Lepisosteus oculatus: one gene and its partners. The protein of the gene in region 1 interacts with the protein of each later gene in a pairwise test. Links are inferred from orthologs where the notes say so. Each region holds a gene or a part of one and is shown on either strand. Other genes may lie near its edges. The genes, in order: lrp2a, mapk8ip1a and mapk8ip2.

What was found.
Region 2: the proteins of lrp2a (region 1) and mapk8ip1a interact in a two-hybrid assay, tested with the Homo sapiens proteins (2 studies listed by BioGRID). The link is inferred for Lepisosteus oculatus from reciprocal best matches to the Homo sapiens genes LRP2 and MAPK8IP1.
Region 3: the proteins of lrp2a (region 1) and mapk8ip2 interact in a two-hybrid assay, tested with the Homo sapiens proteins (2 studies listed by BioGRID). The link is inferred for Lepisosteus oculatus from reciprocal best matches to the Homo sapiens genes LRP2 and MAPK8IP2.

Annotation. Positions count from the first base shown.
Region 1 is NC_090707.1:15,774,507-15,781,939, forward strand, and holds the start of lrp2a (low-density lipoprotein receptor-related protein 2a), read right to left. Parts: upstream 3,051-7,433; 5' UTR 2,976-3,050; coding exon 2,846-2,975; intron 1-2,845. UniProt on the Homo sapiens protein: Multiligand endocytic receptor. Acts together with CUBN to mediate endocytosis of high-density lipoproteins. Mediates receptor-mediated uptake of polybasic drugs such as aprotinin, aminoglycosides and polymyxin B.
Region 2 is NC_090716.1:6,360,771-6,367,779, forward strand, and holds the start of mapk8ip1a (C-Jun-amino-terminal kinase-interacting protein 1a), read left to right. Parts: upstream 1-3,955; 5' UTR 3,956-3,994; coding exon 3,995-4,239; intron 4,240-7,009. UniProt on the Homo sapiens protein: The JNK-interacting protein (JIP) group of scaffold proteins selectively mediates JNK signaling by aggregating specific components of the MAPK cascade to form a functional JNK signaling module. Required for JNK activation in response to excitotoxic stress.
Region 3 is NC_090702.1:14,099,398-14,107,409, forward strand, and holds the start of mapk8ip2 (C-Jun-amino-terminal kinase-interacting protein 2), read right to left. Parts: upstream 3,086-8,012; 5' UTR 2,618-3,085; coding exon 2,553-2,617; intron 2,527-2,552; exon of another isoform or gene 2,442-2,526; coding exon of another isoform or gene 2,404-2,441; intron 1-2,403. UniProt on the Homo sapiens protein: The JNK-interacting protein (JIP) group of scaffold proteins selectively mediates JNK signaling by aggregating specific components of the MAPK cascade to form a functional JNK signaling module.

The DNA of each region.
Region 1 (7,433 bases):
GTTAGGTGTGTAACTTTTTCTCAGTTTTACTTACTACATTTGGGAAGATAACTGCACATTGAAAAGTTTTTTAAAGAGAAGCACAATGTAGCACTGGCTTGTCAAAGTTCAGTCAATATGTTTTTCTTATGATCTAATTCTTCTTATGATCTATTGACCCTGTCAAGTCCAGAGCTGTGATTCTATGGTACCTTCTGTAAATTAGTGCTGTTCTCAAGGTAAATGCCTAAATGAAGTGTCTGATCATTGGCTCTAAGACAAGGATCTATGGATTTTAATTATTTACTATATGCTAATGTATATTGTAAACTAAAGTTTTAAAAAGAAGGCGATTTACAAAACAAACAATGCCTCTTTGTCAGATATCAATCCCATCTCAGGCATTACTCATCAGCGTGAGTCAATTCTATAGCTAACTAAATGCTATAACCTGCCAGTGTTATATCAAGATGATGTTACAAGTTGCACTTTTAGATTCTGCTCATTATTTCCTTTTTTGCAAGCTGTGCTATGAAAGCCTTAAGGTTTGAAGCATTCCAAAGTAAAATGTAAAAATGACTCTTTTCAAGGATTGTAAAAATAATGTATTGCATGTTGATCAAATATCCTTGAAATCTAGACTTTAAAACTGATGTTCGTAACCCCAGCAGACACGAGTATTAGTGAATGACAGAATCCCTGTCCCCCTCCTCGTGGCTGTTTTGGTCATTTCCTCTGAAACGCATGCTGAATAAATCTGGATTAAATCAGCCATTAGTTGCTCACTTTTTTGAGGAGATCTAAATGAAAAACACACATTAGCATGATGGGACAAGCAATAGGTTTATTCCAGGCTGAAAAGAGAAGAAAGAAAACACAACCTTTTCGCCTGTGGAACCTATTACTTGTTCCTTTGCAGCCTACGCATGCTGACGCAGCCACCCACCTGAACAACATTAGCATGATGTTAGGAGAGCCAGACACGGGTAGCAAACCACATTCGTATTTTGGGAAACATTTTCTAAAACAGGTTATTTACCATAGTGCAGCTGGACTTTGTCATTTAATAATATGAAGACTAACTTCATTAGCACATGTTTTCTTAACTGGAACCACTGTAGTGTTAAACTTGAAAAGGTAACTTTTTAAGAACAAGAAATTCCTATTTTTGTAGATGATTAACATTAAAAAACTATTAACATTCTCGCTGCTTCACCAAAAATGCCTTAATGGAAATTATTTACAAGCAGAAAAATACAAGTAATGACAACACTTAGTTAAATATTATAGTAATTACAATCACTTCAGTGTTTCCAGCGTCGATAACTGCTACATCAGCATCCTTAAAGACCTGACAAAGGTGCTTTTAAAATGTTTCACAGTTTACTTTGGAAATAATCACCCCACAAAGACATTACTGGATCTTAAAGTTTTAAAAGGATTTTTGAAAAAATAGAAAGTGCATAGACAGATCTCTTTCTGATCACACGAAGCATATACTTAGTAGATGTTATTTTGGAAATGGTTAAATATCTCTTTAAAAAATTGTCTTAACACATCAAAGCAATTACAAATTATACTCAGTACAAAGTTACAGTGCATATTTTTTTACAATACACTTGCAAAATATATACGATCATTTTAGTAATGTTTTGTTGAGATTAACCAAAATAAATTACCTACAGATCTATTATATACAGAGACTATTACTCTGTGACAAAACATTCCAATTTACATACATTACAAACACCGTGAGATTCGATGCGAAACGAACTTTTAGATCAATTCCACTGACACCCTAGTCTCGAAGTGCAAATTTTGAATCTGAATTTTATATATCTTGTTTTCGTGTCTTGTTTCTGAAACATAAATGGTTGCTTCTAGCAGCAGCTGCAGTATAATTAGTGGCTTGATTCACACTAAGGAGCTTATATACTAAGGGTTGAGCAAAAAGAAAGCAGATTATAATTTGAGTAGGTCTGCACAAGTCTGCACGATCAAATCCAAGAACAGACTGCAGTAAATCAATCTATTTTATCCCCCTGCACAACAATGGGTCTTAAACTGTCACTGTACAAAAAGGCTGCTGTAAAGTTACGACATCTTTAAAATACATGTTACAAAACTAAGAGCGGAGGAGTTCCTCCAAGTCAGATTTGTACCAGTGGCCTGCAGTCCGCAGATTGCCTGCTGGTCACATGCTCTCCTCTGTTACCTAGCAACGGCAAAGCTCAGGCAAAAGTTCTCCAAGAGAACTTCAAATCTGTCTGAGGGAGGCTTTGTGCTCTAGATTAAACTAACGTTTCTGAATTTTATTGAATACGAAAACGCTGACTTAAAAGGAGCATGCCAAAGAAAACTAATGATCTTGTCTTAGTTTTAATCATTAAAGAATATGTACAAATGTTCTAGCGATTTAACATATTCACATGACTGGCACAGCTATTTTGTCACTGAATCCCAAAAATACAAGGATTGGAAAAAACACCGCGAAACACTAATAGAAATTAAAACAAGCGAGAAATCTCTAATGTCAGAACAAGGGTGGAACTAAATAACATTGCTGTTTAAAACACATTTTATATTTCATTAATCCAAACATTGAGATTCTATACTCATATTGTTTAAGAACAGGAATTGTAAGTATGCGTGTGTTGGATATGTTTCTAGAACGACCTTTCTTAAAATAACCTGCTTTCTAATTTATAATAAGAGAAATATTGAATTTCACATGCAATATCCCACATATTTACCACCCTTGCTACTGAAGATACAAAAACTAAACTGGCTTGTTTCTGACCGTTAGTGCCCCATCCCTCAAGTGGAGTGGGATGTAGCACCTAAAACAAATGTGAATTTAGCTTACCTTGAGAATGGCACTGAAGCGCGAATAAAGTTAACAGAAAGAAATTCACGGGGAGTGCTTTCCACATCCTGATGTGCCGTCCCAGCTGGTCAGTCCAGCTCCAGTCCAGGCCGGGTGGTTGGAGGTGCATTAGGGGACTGGGATGCTACCGCTGCTAGCCTCTCTCTTTCTTGTCCCGCTAGCTGATGAAAAAGGGCGTGTTTGAGAGCCGAGACATTGCGCTTTGAATACTCCTTTCGCTCCGGCCCACTGGATAAAAAAAACCCTTTCTACCAGGGACCCAGGAACCGGCATAATTCAATCATTCACACTAATAAGCTGTCGTCGTCCGCACCCCTACAACACAGTGTACTTGCTGCGAGTTCAATACGTTGGCAATACATTTTCTATGGAAAACTTAGAGTCCATCAACTGTTTTTCTGTGACTCAGTGAAAGCAGATAGCTGATTTAAAATTGGCACACAAAAAAAGAGTTGTTAACCTGTCATGATGCGCATTGGCGCAAAAGCATATTGAGACACACGGTCACCTCTTTGCCAGTTTGAAGCAACTTTTTACCCATTTCTTCACGGCTCTCAAGCGCGCCATTTTTAACTTGTTTAGAGGCGATTTTACACCCCATATAACTGGCACACACAGCTCACAAATTTTAAGCCTTATTTCTGAATTTCAGTATGGAATTTACTTATTTCACAATGAAGATGAAATTGAAATATATTGGATGCACTGACCTGGTGAATAGATTATTTGAAAATACCACCATCATGTTGAAAACTTCTTTGAAATCAACAGTTACTGATTTTAATCAATTTTATTCAAGGAAAGTACAGTCACATATCTGCATGATGATGTATAATCTCGTATTTTAACACAAATTACGTGAGGCCACGTATATTCAGGCGACTACGTGTCAGGTGTGATAAATCAGATCTCTGTTTATCCTATTAAACCGACGCAAAGACAACGGTTATTTGGGAAGGCTAGCTCTAATCGCCAACGCAGAGATAACCATCAATACTATATTGTAAATGGCTTGAAGGCGGAGGAGCGCTTCACAGTGCTTGTATTCAGTATCAGGGCTACCTTAGTGTGTTGGTACGGGACAGCACCGGGGTCAAGCCCCAGTAACACGAGGGTAAGATAAGCATATTCAATGAGCTTTTCGACACATCCAGTGGCACAGCAGAAAAAAAAAGAATGAAAGAAAAAAAAACATTCTCCCGAGAGACTACATTTCACTGCAAGTATTTCTTACTGTGAATGAGAAAAAGAATTTCCCCCCAAATGACTGGCGTCTCTTTATCCACCTCTTTTGCCAGAGAGCTTGTTGAATTCCTTTCGTGGTTTCACAGCAAGTGTCGGGACGACCAAACGTAACCAGCAGCGTTATTTAATGGACTCGACTTCGGATAAAGTAGCCTATAGTTTAATCCAAAGGGTAACAACTGGCGGAGCAAATGTTTAGTTTGACAAAATAAAGTATATTTGTTGGGGGGGGGGGGGGGGTTTGTTCATTACAAGCTTCATGTGTTCGTAGGATTTAGTGTTAATATCCTGTTTAATGGCAATGAACACCATACGTGTATATCTCTATAATGTGTTTTAATTCGATAATACTTCGAAATCACAATTATTTTCCACAAACGAGCATGACATGTTTGAAAGGTCTATTCAAAGCTAAGGCCAATTGTTGATTCCCAAATTGCTAAAACGTTAATTTCCTGGGAAACAAGCCCTTAACTGTGAAATCTCCCTTAATTAGATCTGCACCAAACATTATCCTTCATATACTTAAGTTAGCCAGCGTATAAGGCTACTTATAAGGTTTAGATAAATTGCTTTCCTATTTTACATGCTTGTAACAACTATCAATATCCTCCAAACCCTGCTAAAGTTAGTTTCTGTCACTTTTACAAAGCTAAATCAATAACGTGTCATATAATGTAGTCTTTTGAAATATATTTTTCTCCAAGAAAGATGGAATATATTAGAATGTCTATTTATGAATCCACTTCTCATTTGCAAAAGACATCATGAAAAAATATGTGTTATAAAATTATGGCCATACTGCTCTAGCGACCCTGGAAGGTGATTCAATTCGAAATGTGCTCATCTAATATTTTTAAGAAAAATGATTACTATCAGTATATTTGCCAAATACATTTTGAGATTACAACAAACAACCAATGTTTATTTCTAGATGTGCAAATATCGCAACCGCATCTGTTTTTTGTCTTCGAGAGTAGAAACAACATTGAGCTCTCAAAAAGAGAAACTGAGACTGTCCCGTTAGTTTCACTCAACCACCCAGTTTTATGCATACGCATCTATTGAAAAGGCGGTTTTAAAACTAAAACTTTAGACATCTGGGAATTGTTGTTATTAATAATTAATAATTATGAATTAATATTTTCTCAATATACTTCGCAGCGAATAATGCGAGTGCTTTTTAATGCTGTATTTTAATCTACCATATGCCACATATGGTAGATATCTACCATATCTACCACAAGTTGCATTGCAACTACAGCTGTAAAACAACACAGAACTTTCATGTAATTTAGCATTGTCACCAGAAGAGAAACAAGACCTTAAAGATTTCACTATTCCTATTTTACTATTCCAATACATGAAAACTTATAATGGTTATCATCCCGTTTCCAGAAAAGAAAACTACCACGATTCGGTTTAGAAAAAAAATCTCGATTGAGCTTATATGTAAATGGAATGGGACATAGAAAAGACATTTTAAAAATACTAATACTCATTGAATAACTATTGGTAATGCAACAACATTGTGGAGAAGGTTTTTGTGTTATACATGGGGGTGTAGGGAACATGACAAAGGTCTTTATTAAACCTGTGCAGACAGAGCCTTTTTAAACTTATTAGATAAGGTCATTGGGTTTCAAAAGAGAAGCTGATCTCCATGCCCCTTTGAATTTTCAGTGAAATATGTTGGGGCTGATAAGTTATTGACTTTCTGTTAATTCCCTTTTTAGCATTTTTAATCATGTGAAATCTATACATAAAGTGTGCATGTACGGTATGAGTTGGTATTAACAAGCGTGTTCGTATAAAATGACACTGCCCAATCTACACTTACGTATAAGATTCTAAAGCAGCGTGTTAGTGATGCTCTGCCTCTTTTCTTTTTGCCTTATGTAAACATGACCATACACTTCTTTTTCCCTTTGAGCAAATGACAATGATGAAAAGCTACAGCTAAAAACTCAGACTCTTTTGAAAAGCATGAAAAGAAGAAGGTGTAACAAGATAATAAGGGGACTCTTACATTTTTCAGGGTGGCTAACTTTAACCCTTTGTATTGCACTATTCTTTAAATACATTGTGAGGGTTCTCTAGGTTCCGACAGCATTTTGCTTTCCTGAGCTGTGGTTTTTGGCACCAGTGCAGGGTATGGTATCTAACTTCAGATTCAGCTACACCACACACATTGAGGTGTTGCCCCATAGTACAAAGTAATGTATGACTTAATGAGTTAAACATAAATGACATTTTATTAACCAGGATTTTCTTCCCACTCTTTTAAACCAGGTGTTCTAAGGTCACTTACAACTGGCAGAATTTATGGTGCTTGATCTGCTTAATCATCAGTTTCAAAGCTGAGAAATGGGTTAAAAATTCTTCAACAGCTTCTTGTTTTGCCATCTACTGTAGGTAAAAACAAAACACCTTTGTTTAAAAACTTTGCACCTTTCTGTTGCTGTGATAAGGTATTTTCTAGAAATGTGTACAATAAGTGGGTGTTTTGCACATTAAACACAGATAATAAATGTTAAGTCAATACTTTAGAATAAATGTCATCAGTCATAAAACTTCGTTAATTTTAACATTGCTGTTTACCTTAACCAGTTAGTTGTTTTAATAAATTATTTCTTCATTAAATACTGTATGTATATCATTTCAGTCCTAAAATTGTTTTTTTTTTCCATTCTGAAGTCATTGCTTGTAAGATTTTCTCCAAATGCAAGTGAGTTAAAAACTTTAGGAAAAAAATAATTATTGTTTACTTTTTAATTGGTTCTTTTTACTCAGATTCACCGATTCAATACATGCGTGAAAATTGCATCTGCACACGATATCGTGCGGATTTTCTAAAATACGTTTTAGACCGAACTCCTGCGGGTTTCCTGCAACTCCAAATACCCTATAATACTCCTTCAGGAATCCATCAGAGCCCTGCAGAGCTCCTTTCACTAGAAAAATAAAGAATTCCTGAGGAGTCTTGAAGGATAAGAATCCGTTAGTATTTTGCCCACCTCCTATATCCCCAAGCTACCCCCCACAAAAAAAAAAATCAGGAACCGTGTGGGAATTGGTTCAACTATTACGATCAGTATACATTTTGTAAACCGTTAAAAGGGGATAAAAAAATATCCAAATATTGCAGCCAGCTTATTCCAAACCGAAGAATGTCCCCATCGCCTGCTATTGATTTCACCCTCAAGTAATAACAAAAATTGACCACATGTAAAACATGGATCATACAATACGCCAAATTTGTCATTACTGTAGTGTACGGTCACATCACGTTACACCAGTTCCTGATTAGAAATAACAACAT
Region 2 (7,009 bases), on another chromosome or scaffold:
AGATTTTGTCTGCAGCTACAGTACATGGAACTATTTCAGTAGGAGTGGTATTGTAGCGTATTACAGAAGGGTTTGTTTTTGCTCTGCTTCTTATTGATTCGTTATAGAACCAATTACCCCCAGCAATTTTCTTTATCCATATAATTCCCTTGGACAGTTTACAAAACTCAGGTTTTTGTTTCAGTTATTGGAAAGTCAACTTATTTTCTCTTGTAGCTCAAGTAGGGAGCTGCATCAGCAGGCATAGGCTGCAAAGGAACAAGTGCAGGCTTATTCCATGTTGAAAAGAGAAGAAAAGAATCGTTTCAGCTGTAGAGCCTTCTTCAGGTGTTATTTTCTCTTGTACTGTGTATTTTAATAAGGTGTCCATGGCTCCAATTAATTGCTCCGGGATCTGCTGTTCACGCAGAATGTTGCTCTGGTGGACTAAAGCAGCTGAAACGTTTATGGGAGGATCTGTGTGTAAGCACCGGTGAGCCGCTGTTCCGTACATGGCCTCAGGAGCTGCTCCGCTCACTTGAAAAGAGAGCACTTTACTGCATTATGCACCGATTCTAAAACATTTAGAAGAGGGCTCGGGGAAATTACCCTTCCTTCTGCAAGGTGCCGAAAGTCAAGCCAATTAATAATCCACAAAGGGACTGAGAGGAGTGGTATCTGTGAAAATCATGGGGAAGATTAAATTGCATCCTAGATGTTATTGATGTGCTCTTATGGTGTATTAGAAGTTTTGTAAAAAACAACAACATGGGGGTATCCACTGCTACCACTGGACTTGAACAGACCTAAAACCTTTAGGTATATGACTCCCTTGTGACTCTATTCTTTATAAATTGTTCTGCCTTGAATTGAATCACTATCAGTCCAATATCGTTCTGTACCTTGCCATGCCTTTGATGAGCAACAGTGTAAACAGTCTGGACAAGAACAGGATAAGTCCATTGACATCTGTTACTATGCATTAGTATCATCTTCTCACTTAGAAGCATGAATAAATACAGCAATATTCTACAATTGTCTTCTGTCAGCAACTGAAAACAGCAGTGAGATCTGTGAAAATCAGCTTTGCAATGAAGTATCAAAAAATATTGATACCCTTTATAACCGATTTTTAGCCTGACTTGATTGTTTAGATTGTTATCATAAATAGCATTCAATAGAAAAAATGCTGTCTCTAATTTTATGTGATAAGCAGAGTAAATATAAAACTGGGCACTTTGCAGCATACACCATACAGCTCTTTTCTTCTGTTATTTTCCAAAAATATGTTTTTTAGGGAAAGGCTGACATTAAAACAGATTGCATGAGTTTCCCAACTTGCAGGTCTGCGGGAGAAATAAGGACAAATTCATCTGGGCATTTTAAATTAATATTTTAAAAATTCCATTAGAATTTATCCTGAAATTAGGTTACTAATTCCTCTATATCTCATTAACGCTGCTTAAATTTATGCAAAAATGTCCGTCCTTTCATGTTGACTACAGTTATCCTGCAAATTGAAAGCTACCTGGATTATTCATCATCTAAAATTCAATTGGCTGTAATTATCTAAAGTGCCTCAGCAAAAATGTAGTATTTGGGAAGGACATGGCTTAAACTGTTAGAAGGAATCCATAAAATAATTCCTTGCTGTTGCTGTATATACTGTAGCAGTTATTATGCCAGTGATCCCAATGTACAATACATATAGGATGGGACCCACTTTCTCTTCATTGGATTCTAAAACAAAACTCCACATCGAAAGAGCCTCAGGCAAGAACTGAACATTGGAACCAAGTGCTTCTCTAGTTGAGAGTGCTGTCATGCAGCAGTCCTACTGTAACGGCCATGCCACCACACTTCTGTCAGTGGAGAAAACAGATTCTAAAAATAAGGCATTCCATAGGTATATACTGTATTCAGTGCTGAGAAAACATCAGATCAGCAGCTTTTATAGCATCTGTACATTCATCTCATGTGAAACTCTTCTGAGATACAGGTTATTTCCCGCAATTTATAAGTTTAGAATGACTTATGTTCAGTACATTTCACATCAAACAAATTATTAAAATGATGGCCTCCGTTTTGCTGTGCAAAGAAATGTTGTCATTCTTTTTCTGCACCTGGTTGTTGTTGGACCACCTGGATGATGATGACTTTTTTAAAGAATTTTGTAGGTTGGCGGAACAAATCTTGTCTTGAATTTGCTTAATACCTGTAGGAGAACAAATACTTTTTTTTTCAAATGTACCTTTCACCTAAGCTATTGCTTAGTGAAAATGCTTGTTTTAATGAAAATACATTTTACATGCTGAGCTGGTTTGCATTCACTCTTTTCCTTTTTCGCTTAAAAGGAAAGGTTATTAAAACACATGCTATATCTGCTGATATCTGGCATGTCAGCGGAATGACTTTTGTCGGACCAGACTGACGTATCTTTCTTGTGTTTCAGGCTGTTGTGTGTTTCTAAAGCCCAGCAGGTACTATTGTACAGTATACCACAGCATTTGTTTAATGTACCTTGTTCTTTAAAGAAAATGATCTTTCTGATATATAATTCAATTTATTGAACAGTCATTACTCATACAGTATCACATGATAATTGATTTGTAAACCATGAAATACAACATAAAGGGTGTATTAGTGCATTGGTGCATTCATTCAGGCCTGCTGCAATCATGTTATGAATAGATTCAGGGATCACAACTCACCAGTCACACCAGGAGGGGCGTTATGGACAAGCTCGGAGATATGAATGGGCTGTTTCCCTGGTTACAAAGCACAGTGCAGGGGTAAATAGGCCAATCAATGTGGGTAACTTGAAATGAAATATCAAATTAATCTGCAGTAACTGCACCCAGTTGACTTGAGCTCACTTATTAGTGGAGTGAGACAGCATGAATATTAAGAGATAGAAACCATTAATAGGTAATACACTACAAACTCTGTATAGGATAAAGGATAAGAAAGAAGTTTATGAAATGATTAAAATAACAACAGGGTCCAATTAATGAAAAGTAAAACAGGATATTTGGGATATTCCAGTAGAGGCTTAAGTAAAATAAAACTAGAAAGTTGTTCTAGCATTGAAACAGCAGAAGAGCCTTAAAAGATGGCTGATGCACTATTACTAAGTGCTGTTGCCAAGTGGGCTGGATGGGTCAAGTGAACTCCCCTCATTTGTAACGTGTTTTATGAACAGTATTTCACTCAGGTGATCACCAAGGAAGAAGTCAATAGAATGCCAGGTGGTGGAAGGACAACGTTCTTAATATTATTTCTTATCACATTCAGGATATAGGATATACATATGTGGAAAATGTGCATATTTGGATTGACAATAATAAAAAACAGGATACAGATAAGAGGCAAATGCTAAGATTTGGGCACACTAATTAATAGAGTACCACAGGGATCTATACTAGAACCACTGCTCTGATTCTGGGTATTTAATAAACTAGTCACGTTTGCAGGTTATACCAAAATAGGAGTCGCAAATAAAATTCAAAAAGCTTTAGATAAAAATTGCAGACTAGGAAAACACCTGACATATGATGTTAAATTGAGGGTGTTGCATGCAGATACCCCTAAACCTTAACTAGGTTTGAACAGAAAAGGCTTCAAAGAGACCTAGTGTATTCAGAGTCCTTAAAGGCACTTACATTGAACCACTTAAACACGTGGTAACTGTTCCGAATGACCTCGGCATTGTATTTTTTTTTTGACTTGGCTGCTACAATAGCAATATTCATTGCAACAAGAAAAAATGTATATACTGTAACCACTTTTTGGTTGACAACATCCAATTCTGACACCATTTCAAGTAACTAAAGTATTATTTAATATTTTTCAGAAGTTTAACTTGCCCTGCTGTGCACTCCATTGAATTAACGACGGATTTTGCATTTTAAGTTGATTTGTTTTCTGAGACGATGACGACAAAGACGATTCTCCTTGTTTTTCCGGTTAATATCAACGTACACAGGTCCGCTCCGCCTGTTTCTGGGGACCTGGAATGAGAAGCTGGCGCCTCGCCTCCCAATCTCTCTCTCTCTGTGTGTGTGTGTTGTTTCTCTCGCCTCTCCTCCTTAACTGGATTTCCATCGCAGCATCCCTGCTACTGGGCTACTACTTTCTCCAGGAGCGAACGAATGGATATATAATAATAGGGCAGAGAATGGCGGATAGAGAAAAAAGAAACCCGTCTCCAACTGGATCCCCTTTCTTGGGTTTGCACATCACCTCCTCGCCTAATTTCAGGTAATAGAGCTCAGGATAATCAAAGGGTACCGCAAACCCCTATCGAGCCTAAGGGCTTTTCGGATAACGAAGCTGGTGACGGATTGAAAACAGTGACAGGCTATAGCAGATAGATTGTTACTGCAGAAAGGGGATGCTCATGAATATACTGTAGTAGTGGTTGCTTCCGAGACGGAAAGTGCATTGTTTTTTTCCGTGCATCCCGTTATGTAAATTGAATCGATACAGAGAACCGGGGCAAGGCTGGCGGACGCACACAAATAGTTGCTGTTTACAAACACGAGTCTTTCTCATGTAAATTAAAGGGCGTAGTCCATTTTTATTCAGGTGAACAGATTGAAAACTCCCGTGATCTTGACGACACTGCGCGGAGGAAACAAAACAGATATCAAAGCTCTGTTTGTTGCTGTTAGAAGTTGGAAAGCGCTGCACGTTATTTTGTTACTGTTTTTGGTTTGGGCTTATTATTTTGCATCAAATCTCGAACACGAATGAACTCATTGATCATTTGGAATTGATGAGAATATTAGGCGAAAAGACTACTCGTGAAATCTAAATATCACCATTATTTACTCTTCACTAGAAATGTAAAATATAGATTTAACATACTATAAATATATTACGTATCTACTGTACCTATTTATCTAAATAGAGGCATCACACAGCTTTTCAGGTATGTGTGCAACTGGTTGACAGCAACAGTCATAGTGCTTGTGTGTGAAAAGTCGATACAGAGCGTGAATGGTTTGTTACTAGTTTGGTAGTAACTTTATAATTACCTGACCTTATAATCGAGAAATATGCATTGTATTTATTCAAGATATTAAGCAAATAAGAGTAAATCCGAACATGCATTATTCTGCTAAATACTTAAGCTCGGAGAGAGGTCGCTATTAGAACTTTGAATCTGTTGTCCATTTTATGGCATTCAAACCTCCTAAATCCAGTACATTACTACAGCCTTTGCACTTGTGCATAATTTTGCTTCAAGAACTTAAGGATGCTTTGATTGAATCTGTTATCTGCAGAAAGAAAACAACCTTGGAAACATGTTTCTGTTTCATAGCATTGTGGTTAAAAAATCACAGCAAACATTTCACTTTTCCATCAGCATAAACGTTATAGATCAGAAGCCTTTATGGTCTCTAAGGGTAACATGTTTCACCATTTTTATCAGGGTGCAGGATGTGTACATCTCTTTTAAAGGGGAAACAAGAAAATGCAGTGATGAGATCTGTCATGCACAGTGTGTGGGGTATGTGCAGTGGTTCGGCTGCTGCTGCCACAGAGTATACAGAGAAAAAATGATGAGATCTTGCTGTACAAAAATATGTTACAGTGACATATTCATATCTAGTGGGGTTTCAAAACTCAACAAATTAGGAAAGTATTTGTGCTGAACGTCAGAAACTGCTCCTGACAAGTATCTTTGCATCTGATTGAAGTGGATAAAAATGTGCACCAGCCAATATTTTCTTGCAGTGTGGGATGCTGTCCCATTGCAATTGCATACCAAGAATAAGATGCTGACATTAACAAGTAAACAATCATTGCACAGACTGTTGTGATTATTACGGTGACTAAAGTACATGACAAATGTATTGTTATACTGTGCACAATACTGAAAACTCAGTATTTATGTACTGAGTTTTCAACCTGTCAAAAATATTAACACACTGTAAAGGAATGTCCACACTTGCTTTATTTATGTACAGTATGTGTTTAACTTTCAAGAGACGTAATCTGTCACAGAACTAAGTCAGGATGCACTACAGGGACTGTCATTGCCTACATTATTCAGTAAATTCCATAAAATAATAATCTGTAAATCCCTTTTTTTGTTACGTTTAGCTTTCCTGTATTTCTGGGATAACCTTTAAAAATCCCCAGCACTTCACATGTTGGCTGGTTCCCAACAGAAAGACATCTGTTGACTTATTTTTTATTTACAGTCATTTGCAAGGGTTAGTTTCACAACATGTTATTGCAGTCGTTTAAAAAACTAGTGTGATATTTTTAATGCTATCTTCTGCTGAAGGCTCAATGGCCCTTATGTGACTTTTCCGGTGTACAGATTGCCTTCCATCAACAAATGAATGCATTAATGACTGAATAATGATAATAATAGAATTCTGTAATTTGCAGCAAATTAAATCTGACTGCCTGCATACTGAAAGTACCTGCTTAGTTGATTCAGTATGCTCTTCATGCATCTTTTAGTTCTTTTCAGAAATGTAATCTAAAATGTCAGTAATGTTGGAATTAGATAAACAAATCATTTTTAGCAGGACCTTTCCTTTGGTTTTCATGCTATTGAAAATGATTTAATTTCATCAGGGGCAACAGGAGGTTAGGTTCTAGACTTGTAACTGGAAGGTTGTGGGTTCCAATCCCAGCTGAGGCTCTGCTGTTGCACTCTTGAGCAAGGTAGTACTTCAACCAAATTGCTCCAGTTGCACCATACCCAGCTGTATAAATATGTGCAAATGCAGTTCAATTTGGATCAAACCATCAGCCAAATAAATTAATAATAACGAAGGAGAAAGTAGAAGAGGGGAAAGATTGTGAAATTTGGGAAACAAATCAAGTGTCATCTGAATGGTCAGTGCATACATACTGCATGCTCATACCTATCTCTCTGTTATCAGGCAGCCAGTCATTTTTAGTGATTATAATAAAAGTGATGCAGAAATAAGTCAATATAAATACAAATGGAGATGTTTAGTAGAGCTCACATAGTATAGTTGTGATTGCCACAGCATTATCCAAA
Region 3 (8,012 bases), on another chromosome or scaffold:
CAGAAACGTTTTTTTGGTTGTCTGGCATGAAACAGACCTATATCCGATAGGGTTGTTTTCCCTATGACATGACATGAACACAAATACAGAATGACAGGGAAATAAAATTGGGAATGACTGCACCATTGTGCTTGGAAAGTCTCATTGATGTGGCTCTGCACTGACCAATATTTTGTGAAAACCTGCTGAAATCTGACCAATATTCTACTGAAACAGAAGTGTAAGATAAACTGAAAATACCACTTTATTTTTCATTTAGTTTCGAAAACGAATATGTGATACCCCTGCGTAAGAGGAAAGCATGTAACTTGAGACTGGGTTGTTGTTCAGTTTCACTGCAGTTGATCTTATAAAATAAAAGATGTGATGGCTCTATTTAACAGTGAGTGTTTCAGAAACATCAAAGAATCCCCACCACACTTCACCTACTTATATTCTCATATTAACGTTTCTGCAGGTCCTTCCTCCTGGCCGCTGTCAGGGTGTGTTACACTGCCCTAGGCTAGGACTGTTGCCCTTCATCTGCTCATCTATGGACAGCATGTTGCACTATTGTACTTTTTGGACACTCAATCTGTATATACAGTACCTATGTGCATTTTGCACGTATTTTACTGTTTTACAGTGACTATGAGCATATTTTGCACACACCTAACTCTATATATTTATTTTGTATTGCTATACTTATTTTAATTTTTCGTCTGTTATGATATCTGTCTTTGCTTGTCTTGGGGTGGGCTGCTGTAACACCTCAATTTCCCTTTGGGATCAAAAAAATCTATTCTCATTTTTATTTTTAGCAAAAAAAAAACCCTCCTAGAGTAATATCTGAACTTACAATATATATTTTCTTCTATGAAAACTGTAGAGCATAGAGAAGGTAATTTATTGTTTACTGTCTTTATTGCATTTATTTTTGTCCTTCCAATTTTATGTATCCTGTTTTTTTTCCTCCTCACCACCTAAAAATCATGCTCCAATTCTACAGACATTCCTTTCAGCCTTTCCTTAATGGGCTGTTTTTTTTGATGGCCCTAAGGGAAGTGTCAACGTTGTTTAAATCAAAATGGTGGTCCTTTTAAGAATATGGATCCTAGAGGTACACCTTCACTGAAGATTACAATAGAACTGATTTTCTGATGTTAAGGTGGGGGAAAAGTAATACTATACTGCTTCAGACTGTGAAGTGGCCAAAGCTTATTTTTCCTGCAATACCCCAAGGGCCAGGGAGATTTCACTCCCTGCCTGACACCGAGTGGCATGTGGATTGTGCAAACACACACACTGAAGCATGCCTCAAATAAAGAGAGACGGCTTTCAGTAGTAAATCCTTCAGAATCGTTGCCCTGCGTCAATATTTATGAATACAAATAGTTGTTTATAAATACATATTAAGAGGACATGCTTACCTAGTAGGGTGAATACAAATTATTTGTTGGAGCAATGTGCAAAAATATGATTATCCCGCAGCTTGCTGGACTTTTGTGTTCATCAAAATAGTTAGAATACAACCCCTAATTGGAATGGCTCAGTACAAATGTCTACAAAAGCTGCTTTCCTTACAAAAGCAAACACAAAATTACATTTTAATATAATTACTGTTCATACTAAACTATTTTATTAGGGTTATTTTCAGAACAGCATGAGCATTTTTTATGATATATACTGTAATTCACATTCATTCATACAACCCATTTCAACTTCAATACCCCACTTCTAGTCTTTTTAAATCACATGATAACAAGTAAGAGATAATATAGAAAGATAGGTGCTGAAATGGTTTATTAGTTTTATGTACAACTTTATACATTTCACTCTTTTGTGTTCTGCAGTATAGGTGCGCTGTCAACAAAGTTTTATTTCGTTCTAGTGAATATGCATTAAGTCAAACGTTACGGATAGGTAGCTTTAGCAATCATAAACATCACGGGTCAAAGTCCTCTTTTAAAATCGACGAAAAAAGAATTAAGCAGTCCAGACATAGTGATCGGTTTATGTCAGCAGTGGGGTCCTTCTTTCAATTATAATTGTAAATAAATACATCACTATGGAGGCTTCATGTATGCATCTAATAGGGCGTGGGCCTCTTGAGAAGCAACTCCTCGAACGTCTGATAAATACAATTAATAACCGTGTGTAAAGCAAAGAATTACAAAGAATCAACCGTTTGATATCCTTTCAGGTTATTTCTCTCCTTTTAAATATAATGTTAATACTGGTGTTATTTTACAGAAGCAATTGGTAAATAAAAAAACTTGCAACGCTACAATATATACACTGGAAATATAGTTATGAAAGAAAGCAATAATATCGAAACAATAATAAAAGCAAAAGTACAAATCTAATATTTTAATGTACGGCTTTCCCCCCATCCAACCCTCCCATGCGCCAGAATCAACAGACCTGTCGTAGCGGTACTTGAGAGCATCACCCAGTGACATTCCTACTGCTCCTCCCGCGACAGCCTTGGCCTCTGCAGCAAAGCGCCCGGGAGTTTTCGTTATGTCCTTGATTTATCGCAAATGAAAATGTTGCTGCTGAAGCAGTCTTACCTGCAACCTGGAGGAGAGAGGGAATGGAAGGTGGAGAGAGAAAACATCTCAGCCCTGTCCGCCATCTTCTTCCAGAAATGACTCAAAAGTGACTGCAGATAATCACAAAGCACAGCCCATTCACAGCCAGAGAGGGTGCAGGCAAACCGGATCAAGGGATGATGATCAGCGAAGAATTTTCGCCCCCCTCTGTGGCAACACTGCAGATGTCACTAACATGAACTAATTGTACCACGGATACATTTATCTACGATCAGAAAATCCAGATAATCCTCTTGGGGAAAAAGGAAAGGAAGAGCGTGCTGATTAGGAAAATGGTTGTTTTAAATAATCGTGGATTAAACACTGCCATACACCTGCATAGATCTAGCGCTAAGTACTCACAGAATCAGAGCTATGGAATGCAACAGCAAGCTCTTGTAAAAAAAATCAAGCGCAGCCTCTATCCCTTCCAAAGGACGCACACCAAGCTCCCCCAATACTATGTACAGTATATCAAACAGCAAGAGGTAAAAATCTGTACTGAACTAGCAAAGCAGGAAACAGCACTGCGGATGGTCGTACTTAAGACTACAGACCACATTTTAAACCAAGATGTATCATCCAGCATTATCATATTCTGTTATGATTATGCGCGTTTAATAGCATTTTTCTATATTTCGAAAAAACGTACAATAGGTTGCATTTTGCTGATGGCTTGTGAATATTATGACTGAGATTGATTTGTTTGTGGGTGGAGAAGATTTTGTATTACATGGACATCACGTACAGTAATACTGGAATGCGCTGACAAACACTTCACAATTATTCAGAGCATAAATGCATGTCTTTCTTCTTTAATTGGTCTAAAAACCACTGACTCAGCACCACAGATATATCCTGGAGTAACATTTTACTCCTGAACTGAGGATTCTGTCAAAGTTATACCAGATACAGTAACCATCGTGTACGACTCTGTTGATATTGTATGTCTACATTTATAGGAGTGGAAAGAAAATTAAACGATCGGTCAGACTCACCAATGAATCACAAATCAGCTCCTTTGGACCGCATTTAAACTGAAAACGGGAGTTGTTGGAGTCTGTAACAACTTCTATCCTTTCAAGAAGCAGCTGGTGAGTTAATTAAGCGCGCGTTGTATTACAGTATGTAGCCATGTACGTTTTTTTAGAAATCCCAGACATTTTAGAAAAAGCTCTACATCTTTAAGCACTCGTTATGATAGTATTTGAAGTAAAGTGTTAAAACAGTACTTGACATGTGGTCATGGCAGATTAGCACTTGGCAGCATTGAAGAATTGCCAAACACTTCAAAACCATGGAAATAACCGACTTCAAAACCATGGAGGCAATACTCGAGTTTATTTTAGTTTCTCAGTATTTTGCATTTGAATACAGAAGAGTATTTACAGTCTTAATGTGGGAACATGGTCCGCAATCTTGATTTAGTGAGGCCAGCACTATTTCTTGTAGGAATATAAACCATACTGACCTTAAATAAAAGCGTTAACAAGTGCACCCCGGTGACGAGTCTTGACTAACACTAACAAGTTTACAAAGATACATCCAAGCATCCGTTTTCAATAATCAACCACTCCTTTACAGAACACCAAAGTCCAAAGGAAGGGCAGACACATCAATGAATTAAAAAAGATGCATTTTAAATAAGCATACTAAAACTACTGCGCAGTGGCAAAAAACCTGTTGTAAAGAACAAGTAAAGGTTTATTCCACGCAGAAAAGAAACATATCGTTTCGGATGTGGAGGCTCCGAAAAGCTGATTCTTTTCTTACCTTTTCTGCATGGAATAAACCTTTACTTGTTCCTTTGCAGCCTACGCAGTACCTACTTTTAAAATCTGTTGTATGCGTCGAAGCATAGAGCTGTTCTATCGCCTTTGGTGCTGAAATTGTGTAGGAATTTGAGAGCCACCTATGGAGAAATAAGGTATTACAACACTTAACTATTATCTTAATTGTGTACTACCTCAATTCAAACTCCATCCATCCATTACCGAATGGCGGCTTATTTCTAGTGTCACGCTGACCCAGAGCATGTCAGGACCATAAGACGGATAGGTAGGTTATTACACCCTAGAAAAGAGAACCTGTCCATTACTGCGTACACACTGTCAGTTTAGAGACTCTTATTCACGTAATGTAACTTCTGCACAAGGCATAGTGCTGTCACTCCTATAAAAATAACACAACTAAAAGTATTCCATACAAAGATCTTTTACTCAAGTTCAATGTCTTCCTCATAATGTCTTCGATCTATAATCTTTAGAAATAAAAATATGCAATTATTCAAACATTATTTGAGACTTCATTGTTGTGGATCTTTGCATTAAAATACACATAGAATAATAAGAAATTAGCAGTTCTACTTTCCAATTAAAAGAGATGCTTGTAAGAATACAGAATGGGATAGTTTATATATACTATACAAACACAAATATCTTGCTTCTTTAAAAGCTATTTTAGAAGCAATAAAGCAGATAATATGTACTAGGAAACAAAGCAAAAAATAATAAGAGCATTAATTTATCCTTTAGCGTGACGCTAGATGAAATTTGATTAGGATAAAAAGACCCATTCCTGTGAACAAAATATAATCAAATCACTGTAAGTAACTTAAGTTTTTATTTTGAAGGTGGTTTTATAGACAATTTTCACCAAATAATAGATTTCAGATTTAAAATTTCAAATTTATCCTTTGTCAGTAGATTATAAATTCAGCAATCTCTTTTCAACAGCTTTCTTTTTATAGAACACCAAGATGCATTTGAAGGTGTGGTATGATATACACTAACACAGCACTTGTAATTATTTTCAGGACTTTCACATAACAAAATGAGGCTCAGATCACTCATTACTAAACACTTATTCAAAGTTTGAGCTGTATCTTTTGGATATCCTAAAGAAAAGTCACATAATTTTATTAACCTATTGCAGAACAGGTGTGTTTATCTCATGTTTTCATGAGGTTGAATCATTTATAACTCATCTCATACCAGGACTGGCAAGCCAATCAGAGATATTTCTTATAAGAAGTAAAGTGCACACTGAAATGTGCTCATTCCTTTCAAAGTTTTTTATTTCTTGAAAGTATTTCACTAATCCTATCATCAGGCTTAACAAACATCTAGAACATGAATATTACATCACAGAATGAAATTATACAATGCAAAAATAAATGTTACAGAGTACTAAAACTCTGATGTTACACTTGAAATATATAAACATCTCCAATACATTTCCCAACACCCAATTATAGGCACAACATCATGTTGATTAAAAATAATATGCACTGTACTGAAATAAGGAATATTTAACTGCAGGGTTAGGGTGAATAGAAGTCAAGCACATTTTTGGTGAAGGTAGTGAAGATATAAAATGCAGTGGAGCAATATTATTCTATGCTTTGATTTGATTAAAAAGGTAGTTTTGCCTTTCAGTTATCCTGTGTAAGGAGCTTCTTGTTGATGAAGGTGAAATGTCTTAACTGTGGGTGTGCAAGCAGCTTGAAACTTTGTAACCTTCTGGTTGTTTCAGTTAGCCACTGTGGTTTTAGTGGAAATCAGTTCTCTATGAATTACTAAACTTGGTACTGGCTTATGCTTGAGTCAGAAGTAAATAAAGCCTGATACTGTCAAACATATGGTTCAACAGATGTATTAATAACGACAGTAGTCAGCCACTATAACAAAAAAGTGCTAGATAGATGTATTTTCATCTATTTATTATGCTTGTAAAAGCATTACAAAATGAACTGCATTTACTTATGCCTTACTAATTGTCATATTTAACACTTCTTATCGGCTAATAAAAGATCCATGTATGCTCCAACAATGAGGTCCTCCTTTCTAACTCCCAGTTCATCCATAAGCTTGTGGGCAATAGCTTCTCCTTCTTCTTCAGTTTGTCCATCATTCAGCACCACCTGTGGTTGATACATAAATCCATAATACTGGAAATACTGTTTAAGAACTTAAATCTCTGACTTGATATACAAACTTTAAGTTGCTCTGTTTTTATATAACTCTGCAATGATCTCCTCTAAAATCTGAAATTTAAAACAGAAATGCAAGCAAACAAATTCTTTTTAATCAAGATATATGAATATGTAACTACGTGCTAATTTAATATTTCCTTCACTGTCATTTTATTTGAGAGTCCGATCTACATCTTATCAGAGATCAAAATCAGTATCACATGGTTTGTGAAGAAAAGTCCTACATTTTAGTGATTTTTAAAATGACTAAAATGAAGTGCAATATAATGAAAAAACTTTTTTTAAAACTATTTTATAGTGTGCATGAGTTCAGATTAAAGAACTCTAAGGACACACAACATGGCATAGTTCTCTTAAGGAAATTATAAATTAGGTTGATGGATGCAACTTCAATAATGCATCATCTGGATTCAATACATACCACAAATACTCTGCAAGAATATCATATATACAGAACATTAAACAGCCACAACACTCAACACAGGCCTCAACTTCTCCCTAGAATCAGTGTGAACACTAAAGCTGGGACTGTTAGTTAACTTACCTCCAGCTCCATGAAGTGCCCCAGGCCTTCAACTGTGTCTACATGGACTCTAGTTTGCCCCACCATATACAGATGCCGTTCTTTTTTCACGGTTCCCTTCACACCCAGAGCATCTGAAAGGACTTTCTAAAAAAAAAAACAACATTTATTTAATACTCACGCTCTCACAGTTTCTCCCTCCCTCCCACAAAGCACAACAGCATTCGATTTTTCTTTTTCTTGTGGGGTAAGTCTGATTATTATGACTCACTTTGCTGAATACAGAGAGTGCACTTAAGTTTTCCCATCAGTGAGACTTGGAGCCATGTGAAAACATGATTAATGTCAGCACAAGAAAGTTCTTAAAATGGCATCCAAGATAACAGGCTGTGATTTACCAGCTCTTGACATACTGTCTACTCCAGTGGTTCTCATCGCTGGTCTTGAGGGACCCCTGTGTCTTCTGGCTTTTAAGGACATGAGAACATAAAAAAGGTTACAAATGAGACAAAGCCATTTGGCCCGTCTAGACTGTTGGGTAATAAGTAGCTGGAGCTTATCCAGACCTTTCTTGAAGGTAAAGGCTTTAACCACATGGATGGATATCATTCCATACTCCCTTAATCCTTTGGGGAAGAGGCCTCTTGTTCTTGGGTTTTAAAAGCACTTCCTCGTAGTTTCCACTTGTGTCCTGTATTTTGTTTTCTGTTGTTCATTCTGAAGAACTTCATTGGGCTGGCAATGCCTTTAGAGGATTTTAAATATCAGGTCCTCTTGTAATTATTTTATATTCAAGGGTAAAAAACAACAACCGAATCTAAAAAGGTTAGGTTATTGTAGCCTGTCATTGTGGGACATTTCTTTTAAGTACTAGAATGGATCTGGTTGCTCTTCTCAGGACTTTCCAGAACACCAATATCTT